2 linked regions of the Cricetulus griseus genome follow. The protein of the gene in region 1 interacts with the protein of each later gene in a pairwise test. Links are inferred from orthologs where the notes say so. Each region holds a gene or a part of one and is shown on either strand. Other genes may lie near its edges.

Region 1 (5,440 bases):
CAGTATCTTCTGTGAGGCCACAGGCACTACACCTCCTGCTCCCAGCCAGAGACAAGTCAAGACCATCAAATAATTTACTGTAATTCAACCTGTGCCCCATAGGCACCCGAAGGGAACTGAGAGGGGTTGAGGACTGGGGTGCCAGTGGCAATAGGGACAGTTCATGACACAGTCTGTTCCAATTGTCCATGCGAAGGTCTTGGTCACCTCTGTCCACCATCCCTGGACTGGACTGGCTCCAGCATCGCTTCCTTCCTTCCTTCCCTTCTCTTTCCTTCCTTCCGTCTGCACCTCCTCCCTGCATCCGGCACCTCCACGTCCTGAGCCTGTGCCGGGACGGGCACAAAGGACACCACTGACCTCAGGCAGGGAGATTGGCAGGATGGGGGGGAGCAGGGACATCAGAGTGGATATGAAGTTCATCTGGCTAGCTGGGGCCACTGCCCCAGATGTCTGCTGGTCCCTGCCTCACCTGGTGTCAGGATAGCACACACTTGCAGCTCATGCAGCCAGGGCCACTCTCATCGGGTGGGTTCAGCTTCCGTAGTTTATGCTGCCGAATCTCACGTACTAGTGTGTAGAAGGCATCCTCCACACCCTGGGAACAGAGGGACTGGATCAGAGGGGACTCCAAGGAGGAAAGGGGTGCTGTTTGGGTAAGAAACTCCCTGCCTGGATCAGGTAACACCCCAACCCTGGAAAACAACCCTTCCTCGGCTGCACAACCAACACAAATAGGGAGCTGGGCTCTGCACATCTAAAAGGCACAGGACCACTCTCCTTAAGTAGGCTCACTCTGGAATATCCTTCAGAGCAACTCGACTCAGAACTCTCCCAGACCCCCAGTATGGCTCAGGTCTGAACACCCTGCCCATACTTAGGGCTCAAAACTAACAGGTACTCATAGGACACTATGAGGACAAGAAGGACTAGGCTCCTGGGTCACCGCTCCGGCCTGGCTCAGGGCAGCTCTCTCCATGGACCCCCTCCTGCCCTGGCGCTGTGTCAACCCAGAACTGCAGGGCATAAGCCCAGACCCTGGCCCTTGCCTCCCTCACAGCCCTGCCGTCTGGGAGACTTACAGCATGGGGGCCGCTGGGTCACATGGGTCCCGGGGGGGTCCCAGAGGGTCCCGGAGCTGGAGCCAGAGCCAGAGCGGCTGCCCTGTGTTGAGGGAGAGGGGCGATGAGCTCTGCTCCCTGGCTGGGGTGGGGTGGGGTGAATCCCTGACTAGCTATGGAGTGGGGAGCAAGCTCACCTGCCGGGTCTTGGCTGATGTTTCAATGTAGGGGATGCCATAGCTGCGGGCAAGGTCCTGGGCCTGCCGAGACTCAACAGTTCGAGCAGCCAGGTCACATTTGTTCCCCACCAGCACCATTGGCACATCGTCTGAGTCTTTCACCCGCTTGATCTGCTCCCTGGAAGGGGATGGGGAGTATGTGAGCCAGCTAGCAGGTTACAGGCATGGCTGTACCCAGGACACTCAGAAGACATAAACCCTCAGTGTGCACATGGAACCTTCCTCACCTGTGCTAGCCATAGGTGGCTCACCTGTACTGATGGATGTCTTCAAAGGACTTGGTGTTGTTGATGGCAAACACACAGAGGAAGCCCTCCCCTGTGCGCATGTACTGGTCCCTCATGGCACTATACTCCTCTTGACCTGCTGTGTCTAAGATGTCCAGCAGACATGTCTCCCCATCAATGACCACCTGTTTCCGGTAGGAGTCCTGTAAAAAAAACAGAGCTTAGGCGTTCCACCTCTCCTCAGAGAATCCACAGAGCCCACCCACCCTTGCACCTCTCATGTTCTGATAGATTAGGTGGCAGCAGACCCATACCACCTGCAAGACCTAGCTATGTGGGCCTTCCTGACTCTTCCATGACCACTGCCAGAGCCAGGTAGCCAGAGCTCACCTCTATGGTGGGGTCATACTCGTCCACAAAATGGTTCTGGATCAGCTGGATGGTCAGGGCACTCTTTCCCACGCCTCCAGCGCCCACCACCACGAGCTTGTATTCTGTCATCGCTTCTATAGAGGCTGCCACTCCAGGAGCTCCTGCCCCACCTGCCAATGAGAGCCACACTTATCCAGGCCCGGGCCACTTGAGACTGCTAGTAGATGCCTGACCCAAAGGCCCTAACCAGCATTGAGCAGGCAGGCCAGCCACCACAGTGGCCCAGTCACTCACCTGTGGCACCTCCAGCTGGGACAGGGAGGCCCCCCACCTCCTCCACCAGCACTTAATGGCTGTGTGAGGAAGCAGGGAGAGGCCCCCAAGGCAGGGCTGACAGCTGAGAGCTTCTCCCAACCACGCACCCAAATTAGAAGTCGCTAGGTAGGCAGAAAGCCTCAACGGGAGGTGCCTGAGGGCTGAGGCCACCCCCCAAAAACAGGTCCTGCCACGGCGGACTCAGCGTGCCCAGGCAGGCCAGTGCCAGCCTACAACCGGCTCCGGCCCGCCGGCATGTGGGTGCAACCGACAAGTATTTACTGAGCGCCTACTGCATGCCAGGCGCGGTCCGGGCAGCGGGGGAAGGGTGGCTGGAGAGGGACCCTGCCCTCCGCTGAGACAGACCTTCCACAAGAGGCCAGGGAGCCTTCAGCAAGCAGGGGTGGAAAAGCGGCTGAGGGTGTGGGAAGCAGGTGACTGCGGGAAAGACTCACAAGGGGCGCGAGGGGTGACTGGGGAACAGAAGGCCCTGATTGGGGCCTGAAGCGGGTGTCCTTGTAGCCCCGAGGCCGGAGCGTGATGGCCGCGGGGCGCAGAGTCTCCGGAGGCCCGGGCGGCGCCTCGCCGGGAGGGCGGCTACAGGCGGGGCGGGCCGGGCCGGGCCGCAGAGGCGGGCAGCCGGGCGCTAGGCACGCTGCCGGGGTGAGAGGAGAGGGGAAGCACCGATCACCTGCGCCCCGCGCCCCACCCCACGCCCGCACTCACCGCTTGCTGGAGTGACTGCCCCCGGGGCCGGGGCCGGGGCAGGGTGGGGGCGCGGACCGGCGCTGGCTGGGCCGCGCATGAGCTCCGTCCGCGGCGGGTGCGGCTCGGGCTGCGGGCGCCGGGCGCGGACGGCGGGGACTCGGCCGGGCCCGCGCTCGCCCCGCCCCGCTCCGCCCCGTCCGTCAACTCTAGACAGTCGGTGATTGGTCGAGCTCCGCCTCACCGCGACCTGTTGTGGTTGGCTGAGCGACCCATCCGTCAGGAGCCGCAGCTAGGCGGGGCTTCCTGGAGTAGCAGAGAGAGCGCTGTCGCGACCTGGGTACTGCACTCAAATGAGTGACGCCTAGTTCCGAGGTGCGGAAGAGAATGAGGGAACCCGAGATTCCTCCGGAGAGAAACTGGGGTACGCTCGGGTTGGGTCGCGGGGCCTGCCACAGAGCCCACACTCTGCAGCCGCTCCAGAGGCCCAAAGGCCCTGGGAGCGGAAAGGTCATTCCGACCGGGACCTGGCGTCGGGGACAGTCAGCACCGCGGACGCGGGATACCAGAGGAAGGCAGAACCCGCCGGAACCCCAAGCTGCCTGTTCTCGGAGGCCGAGGTGTAGCGAAGGCCCCATCCCGAGGCAGCATCGGCCCATCACACCGCGCTCCTTGTGCTTTGGAGAAGACCCTCCCTTACCTCCCCCAAAACTCGAGGTCCCAACCCTGCAGCAGCTCATACTGTGCCCCATTTGAAGAACGACCCCGGAAGTCAGAAAAGTTGGTATTAGGGCGAAATGAAATGTTCCATCCACTCATGCAAGTAGGGTACATCTGTGTCAGACGCAAATGACATGTTTGCAACTTTTTGAAAATTTCAAAGAAACGAGTAAGAACGTCCTCCTTAGAAAACCGACAGGGCTTTCTCAGGTGATGCAGGCCTGGGGACGCGCGCTCACGTGTATCCCGGGGTGAGAGCTAGGCTCGGCCGATGCGGCCAGCAGTCAGATAACCCAGAGCGGGACAGAAACCTCTCACGGGCAACTCTCCGAACCTCTGTGGGCGTCTTCTCATCCGTCTCGCTTGCCTGCCACTCAGGGGAACCCTGCCACCGGATCTGCCGCGTGTCCCGGCAACCGTTGCTAGGGGGCGGGGCTCATCCTGCCGCAGCCCCGGATGCCCGCGGCTCACGAATATTTGGGTATTCAAATGAGGCCCCGCCCCCGTTGCCATGGCGCCAGGGCCGCAACCCCACCGCGGAGGAAAAAATAAAAAAAACCCTCACTTGAGAGAGCGACCGCCTTGGTGGAGGGGTCCAGGGCTGGGCCCCTGGTCTCGGGCATCCTGGCCCACCCCTCAGGTGAGAGCTGCCTCTTCATGTCCCTTGTGCTAGGGGAAACCTGGAGTGGGGCCTACATCTTTTGGGGCAAGACACACTGGACTGAGTAAGCAATAAACCATGAAGTGCAGTGGAAAGAGGTAACTCTTACTACAAAAATGTATCTGGGAAAGACAGGTAAGAAGTGCAGGAGTTAGAGGTCGGCCAAACCTGGATGGAGGTCAGGGACGACGGGATGGTGACCAAGAAGAATGTTCTGGGCAGAGTTCTCACTACAGCCCAAAGACTGTTGAGTTCAAGGTCTGAAGCCAAACACAGACCTCTGTATCTTTAAGGAGAAACAGTAGGTGAGCCTGTTGCCAGAGGTATAGAGGCACCTGAAAAAACTCCTCCAGAGGTATGGGGAGGAGCTCAGGAGAGGCGGGCCTACAGAAGATTCAGAACCACACACCCCTTTAGGAGTTGAAGAAGCAGCAGAGTTTGGATGAGGACCGTGTCTTAGTTTGCATTGGGTGACCCAGAAGGACCCTTGACTGTCGTTGTCATCATCTAAACCTTATCCCCCATTAAAATGGTTACAAGGGATTCAGGACCAGGCCCCCAGCTAATAGCACTCCATTCCTGTACCTACTTGCTTCTGAGCTGACATTGGCCAGCTCAGTCCAGGTCTACAGACCAAGCACAGTGACATAGCCAGGAAGCTAATCTAACTCTCTCTTACAGGTATTACATGTAGACACATGTGGCCCCCTTGCCCGGATGTTTGACCTACAGCAGGAGCCAGCTACCTGCAGGTGGGACCTCAATCAGAGAAGGGGGTGTTGGAGGGAATGTCTGCTATCTTAAGCCTGAACCTAGATTTAAGAGACCATTAATGAAGAAAGATCTAGAGCCAGGGTCTGGGGCAGCCTGGGGAACTGTCAGTTACAGGTGGGTGGCTGCTGGTCGATACAGACATCTTGCCCAGTGTCCCTAGTCTTACAGCCTTAAAAAAAAATATTCTTTATCATGTGTGTGAGTGTATGTGTGTACCACAGAGTACAAGAGCCCTCAGAGGCCAGAAGAGGGCAGCTGATCCATCCCTTGGTTACAGGCATTTGTGAGCTACCCAGTATGGATGCTAGGAATCAAACACAGGACCTCTGCAAAAGCAGCCATATGCTGTTAACCATGGAGCTATCT
Region 2 (4,678 bases), on another chromosome or scaffold:
ACAGGCTTCTTACGCCCACTCCCCCTCAAGGCAGGGTTTCTCTGTGTAGCTCTGGCTATTCTATTCTGGAACTAGTTCTATAGACTAGGCTGGCCTCAAACTCAGAAATCCACATGCCTTTGCTTCCTGAGTGTTGGGATTAAAGGCATGTGCCACCACTGCCTAGCTAGGCAGTGTTTTCTTTTCTTTTTTAGATTTATTTATTTATTTATCATGTATACAGTGCAGGCCAGAAGAGGGCACCAGATCACATTACAGATGGTTGTGAGCCACCACGTGGTTGCTGGGAATTGAACTCAGAACCTCTGGAAGAACAATCAGTGCTCTTAACCCCTGAGCCACCTCTCCAGCCCCAGCTGTGTTTCCTTAGGAGTAACAAGATGTGCACTAAAATAGAGATAGAGAGCCTTTTGGAATTTTAGCTTTATGGCGCCTACATGTTCTCTTACATTTGAGAACTACTCAATGCCGGGAGTCCCTACTAGTTTCAGCTTATGATGTGCAGGTACAGCTCTATACTACACTTCACCATAGCTGCTTCTTCCAAGACCACATTGTAATACCACACCAGATACAGGCACAGGTACAGGCACTCAAGCTTCCAGTGTCAGAGAGCTCAAAGCCCCTTTTGTGTCCAGCCTTGTTTGTTTTCACTGGGGATGCCCAGTTTGTAGACATTCTATTAGTTATAAAATTAGCATTCTCAAAGCATCTGCCTTTTGCCCCATCCTCCTACACTCTGGCTCCAGGCACACATGTAGCAGAATACCTTCTAGGCATTGCCCTTTGAAGTAAACTTTTTGTTCCAGGCGGAATTTTTCCATTTGCTCTGCAGAAGAAAAGTTCAGTTCTCGAGACACTGCCTTGCACTTGAGGATTTTCTTGGGCACACGGGCTGATAAAGAGAGAGAGAGATATAGGTACCCTTGTAAATGAGAACCACAGGGCTACGATGCTCTAGGTTCCTGGGAGTTCCTTTGGCTGCCTTAGAGAAGGCGTTATGTTTATTAAATTACATTAAATGCCTTGGTAACTGCATTATATTCCAGCTAAAGGCAGAGATCTAATGGATCAACACATGTGACATGTTGCCAAGGAACACCAGATCTGGTGTCTCCATAGTCCTCAACTAGCTGCTGGCAGGCTCAGGCTGTGAGTATCCGCTAAGCAGGCTGTGTGGGTGTCATCTCTATATTCCAAGTCACTGAAATCCTTTACCTTTTCTTTTTTTCTCCAGAGAGATAAAAATGAAAATTTTCCTTTGGAATAAGTTGAAATCTTAGCTTACAGCTTTTCTTTTCTTTTTTTTTGAGATAAGGTCTCATGTGGTTCAAGACTGGCTTTGAATTGACTATATAGCTGAGGCTGGCCTTGAACTCTTGATCTTCCTGTCTCAATCTGCAAAGCTCTGGGATTACAGATATGAGCCATCACATCCAGATCTGGGTGTGGTCCAATGCTACAGTGGATTTGGGGAACTGAAATAAAGAAATGTAAAAGTGGAAAAAGAAGTGTTCTATTTGCCTGTGGGGCTCACCTGTCTACCGGCTGTGGGTTTACTTAGCTCCCTGATGCCAGGACCTGTTCTGGCACTGGGCACAGCTTGTGCATTCAAGGGGCTGCAAAGTACCTTCATGCTCCACCCCAGGCACAGATAGGTCTTCTGTTCCTTGCCAGAGTATCTTCCCTGTTTCAGCATCCCGAAGATTCATCCAATTTCTGATCAAATATGATTAAGGAAAAGTAAGGCTCTGAGAGTGACCCCTACGGTGCAGGGTAGGGTCTCACTTTGCTCCTATCAACTTTGTTTATTTTGTAGCAAGTCTGTCAAACTTCCCATGAAAGCAGGTAAGTATATGTAGGAGAGTCCAGAAGATGCCTCAAGGAAGAGGCAGAGACCACCAGAGAGATTTTTTTTTTTTCCTAGACAGGGTTTCTCTGTGTAGCTTTGGACCCTTCCTGGCACTTGCCCTGTAGACCAAGCTGGCCTGAAACTCACAGAGATCCACCTGCCTCTGCCTCCCGAGTGCTGGGATTAAAGGCGTGTGCCACCAATGCCCGGCCATCAGAGAGATTTTTATCTACATCATTTTACATAAGAATTCATACATACATACACACACACACACACACACACACACACACACACACACACACACACACACACACACAAATGCCTTTAACTTGGAAAGTCATGATCTACTGAAACCTTTGAGTATTGGCAGGTTCTCCCAAGAAAAGGCACGACCATCTCCTTTGGATATTTACCTTTCAAGGACTTTAGGAGAGCCACTTGGTGTGGCTATCAAAAGAGTAGGCACAACTACAGTATTGCTTGAAGAGCCAGGGCTCTGAAGCAAATCCCCGGGTGGACCTGACCTCCCAACTCCAGAGGGGTCCAGCTGTTTAATGCACAAGAAGCATTGGGCAGGCCTGACATACAGAAAGCTGTGACCTTGGTGTGGAGAAAAAGCCACTCTAGGGGTCAAGTGAAGGAGTAAAAAGGCTAAAAACTGTACTTTGGCCCCAAATTGGTTCTGTTTGCTGTCATCTGAATTGTTCCCATTCTAAATAACTGACATTCTTGGCACCTACTACACCTGGGGTTCTTGCTACTTTGAACTCTCACCAAGAGAGGAGCTGGGAATGGGCAGCCCAGGTTCAAGAAAGATGCCTCAGGCCTAGAGGAAAAAAAAAAAGCTACAGCTGAGCAGTGCAATAATCCCAGCACTTGGGAGGAAAAAAAAAAAAAAAACCAAAGGAAGGAAAGGAAAAGACAAAGAGGCCATGAATTTGAAAGAGAGCAAGTGGGGAGGTACATGAGAGGGTTTGGAGGAAGGGAAGGTGGGCATGATGTAATTATAATGTAAAAAAGAAAACTATGTATGTTTCTGTGTCTGTGTGGGGGGGTCCTTGCAGGCCAGAGGTATCTATCTCCCCTGGGGTTAGAGTTAAAGCTGGTTGTGAGCTTCCTGATGTGGATGCTGGGAACTAAACTCAGGTCCTCTGCAAGAAGAAGCCTGTGCTCTTAATGGCTGAGTGAATTCTCCCACACCTTATTTTTAATTAGGTACTTGTGTGTGTGCTTCTGTGTGGGTTTGCATATACAAGTGCAGGTGACTAGACAGACTAGAAGGCATTGGCTCTCTTAAAACTGAAGTTATAGGTGGCTCACAACTGCCTGTAACTCCAGTTCCAGGGAGTCTGGCACCCTTTTGTGGCCTCCACAGGCACTGCACACACATTGTGCACATACATACATGCAGGCAAACATTCAAACAAAAACATTTTCTTTTTTTTTTTTTTTGGTTTTTTCAAGACAGGGTTTCCCTGTGGCTTTGGAGCCTATCCTGAAACTAGCTCTTGTAGACCAGGCTGGTCTTGAACTCACAGAGATCCGCTTGCCTCTGCCTCCCGAGTGCTGGGATTAAAGGTGTGCACCACCAATGCCCTGCTTAAAAAAAAATTTCTTGGTTAACTCAACAATTTTCATTTCTTTCATATACCCTAATCGGAAAACTGCCAGTGTCTATATCAAATGTTTCATTCCACAGTCATAGGCGTTAATTAGATACTATCTACTATAAACAATATGAAACCAGAGAAATACAAAAGAGAGTTCTACCCAAAGGTGGTTGAGTTGAAATAACTAAGGCTCCTTTAAGTTCAGTGGCTTTAGGAGTGGAAAGGCAGGCTGGGCCTCTGGTGGGCTAGCTTCTCAATGTCCTGGGTTCCCCAGGCTCATTCTCAGAACTGAGGGACACACACACACGCACGCACGCACGCACGCATGCACGCACGCACGCACGCACGCACGCACGCACGCACGCACACAAGCAAACAAACTGATTTACAGGCCTATAATCTTAGCATGCAGGAGGCTGAAGCAGGATTGAGTGTGAGAGAGGCCTTATCTCAAAAACAAAACAAACTAAAATAAAAATCGATCAAACAAAAATTCCCCAAACAATTAGAACAGCTGGCTTTCAAAAGTGAAAGACAAGATCTGATGACTGATCATCTGGTTGAAAACATTTTTGCTTTGGGGCTGGAGAGATGGTTTAGCAGTTAAGAGCACTTCCAGAAGTCTCAGGTTTAATTCCCAGCACTATATGGCAGATTGAAACTGTCTCTAACTCCAGGTCCAGGGATCCAATGCCCTCTTCTGACTTCAGTGAGTCCTGCATGTAAGTGGCATGCAGGCATACATGTAGGTAAAACACCCAAACACGTAAAATTATAAAATAAAAATAAAGAAAACATTTTTGCTTCAACAGCATTTTGTTGAGCAGAATTTTCAGAGAAAAGAACACCCCAAGTTTTAAGGCTCAAAGGTCAAGTCACTTGCAATCTAGAGAGAGGATTAGGTAGACAGGCTTTAAAGGAGGGGGTGCTGGGTACTATTTATAAACACCACCCTCTGGGTCAGCCAGGTCACCTCCTCTCTTTTAAAGGCTCCCTGCTGTTTGTAAGGAGGATGAGCAGAGCAACACTCCTTTGCTACTGGAAGTCTCCCCTTAGAGGAGAGCATGTCTTGGTATTACGACTCTTATCTGGGACCAGGTCAAGTCAAATGCTCTCACATGTAAAAGCACCAACAGCTGGGGTACCCACATAGTGGAAGGAGAGAAGCCACTTCCAAGAGTTGTCCTCTGACCATCATAAGTAAGCTGTGGCA

Evidence for each region. The genes of interacting proteins can lie anywhere in the genome.
Region 2: the proteins of Hras (region 1) and Pde6d interact in a two-hybrid assay, tested with the Homo sapiens proteins (2 studies listed by BioGRID). The link is inferred for Cricetulus griseus from reciprocal best matches to the Homo sapiens genes HRAS and PDE6D.

The regions. Positions count from the first base shown.
Region 1 is NC_048596.1:59,991,149-59,996,588, reverse strand, and holds Hras (GTPase HRas), read right to left. Parts: upstream 3,095-5,440; 5' UTR 3,020-3,094; coding exon 2,941-3,019; intron 2,070-2,940; coding exon 1,918-2,069; intron 1,731-1,917; coding exon 1,552-1,730; intron 1,419-1,551; coding exon 1,259-1,418; intron 1,165-1,258; coding exon of another isoform or gene 1,083-1,164; intron 599-1,082; coding exon 479-598; 3' UTR 473-478; exon of another isoform or gene 356-472; 3' UTR 57-355; downstream 1-56. UniProt on the Homo sapiens protein: Involved in the activation of Ras protein signal transduction. Ras proteins bind GDP/GTP and possess intrinsic GTPase activity.
Region 2 is NC_048595.1:438,216,394-438,221,071, forward strand, and holds part of Pde6d (retinal rod rhodopsin-sensitive cGMP 3',5'-cyclic phosphodiesterase subunit delta), read right to left. Parts: intron 1,720-4,678; coding exon 1,631-1,719; exon of another isoform or gene 1,538-1,630; intron 896-1,537; coding exon 770-895; intron 1-769. UniProt on the Homo sapiens protein: Promotes the release of prenylated target proteins from cellular membranes. Modulates the activity of prenylated or palmitoylated Ras family members by regulating their subcellular location.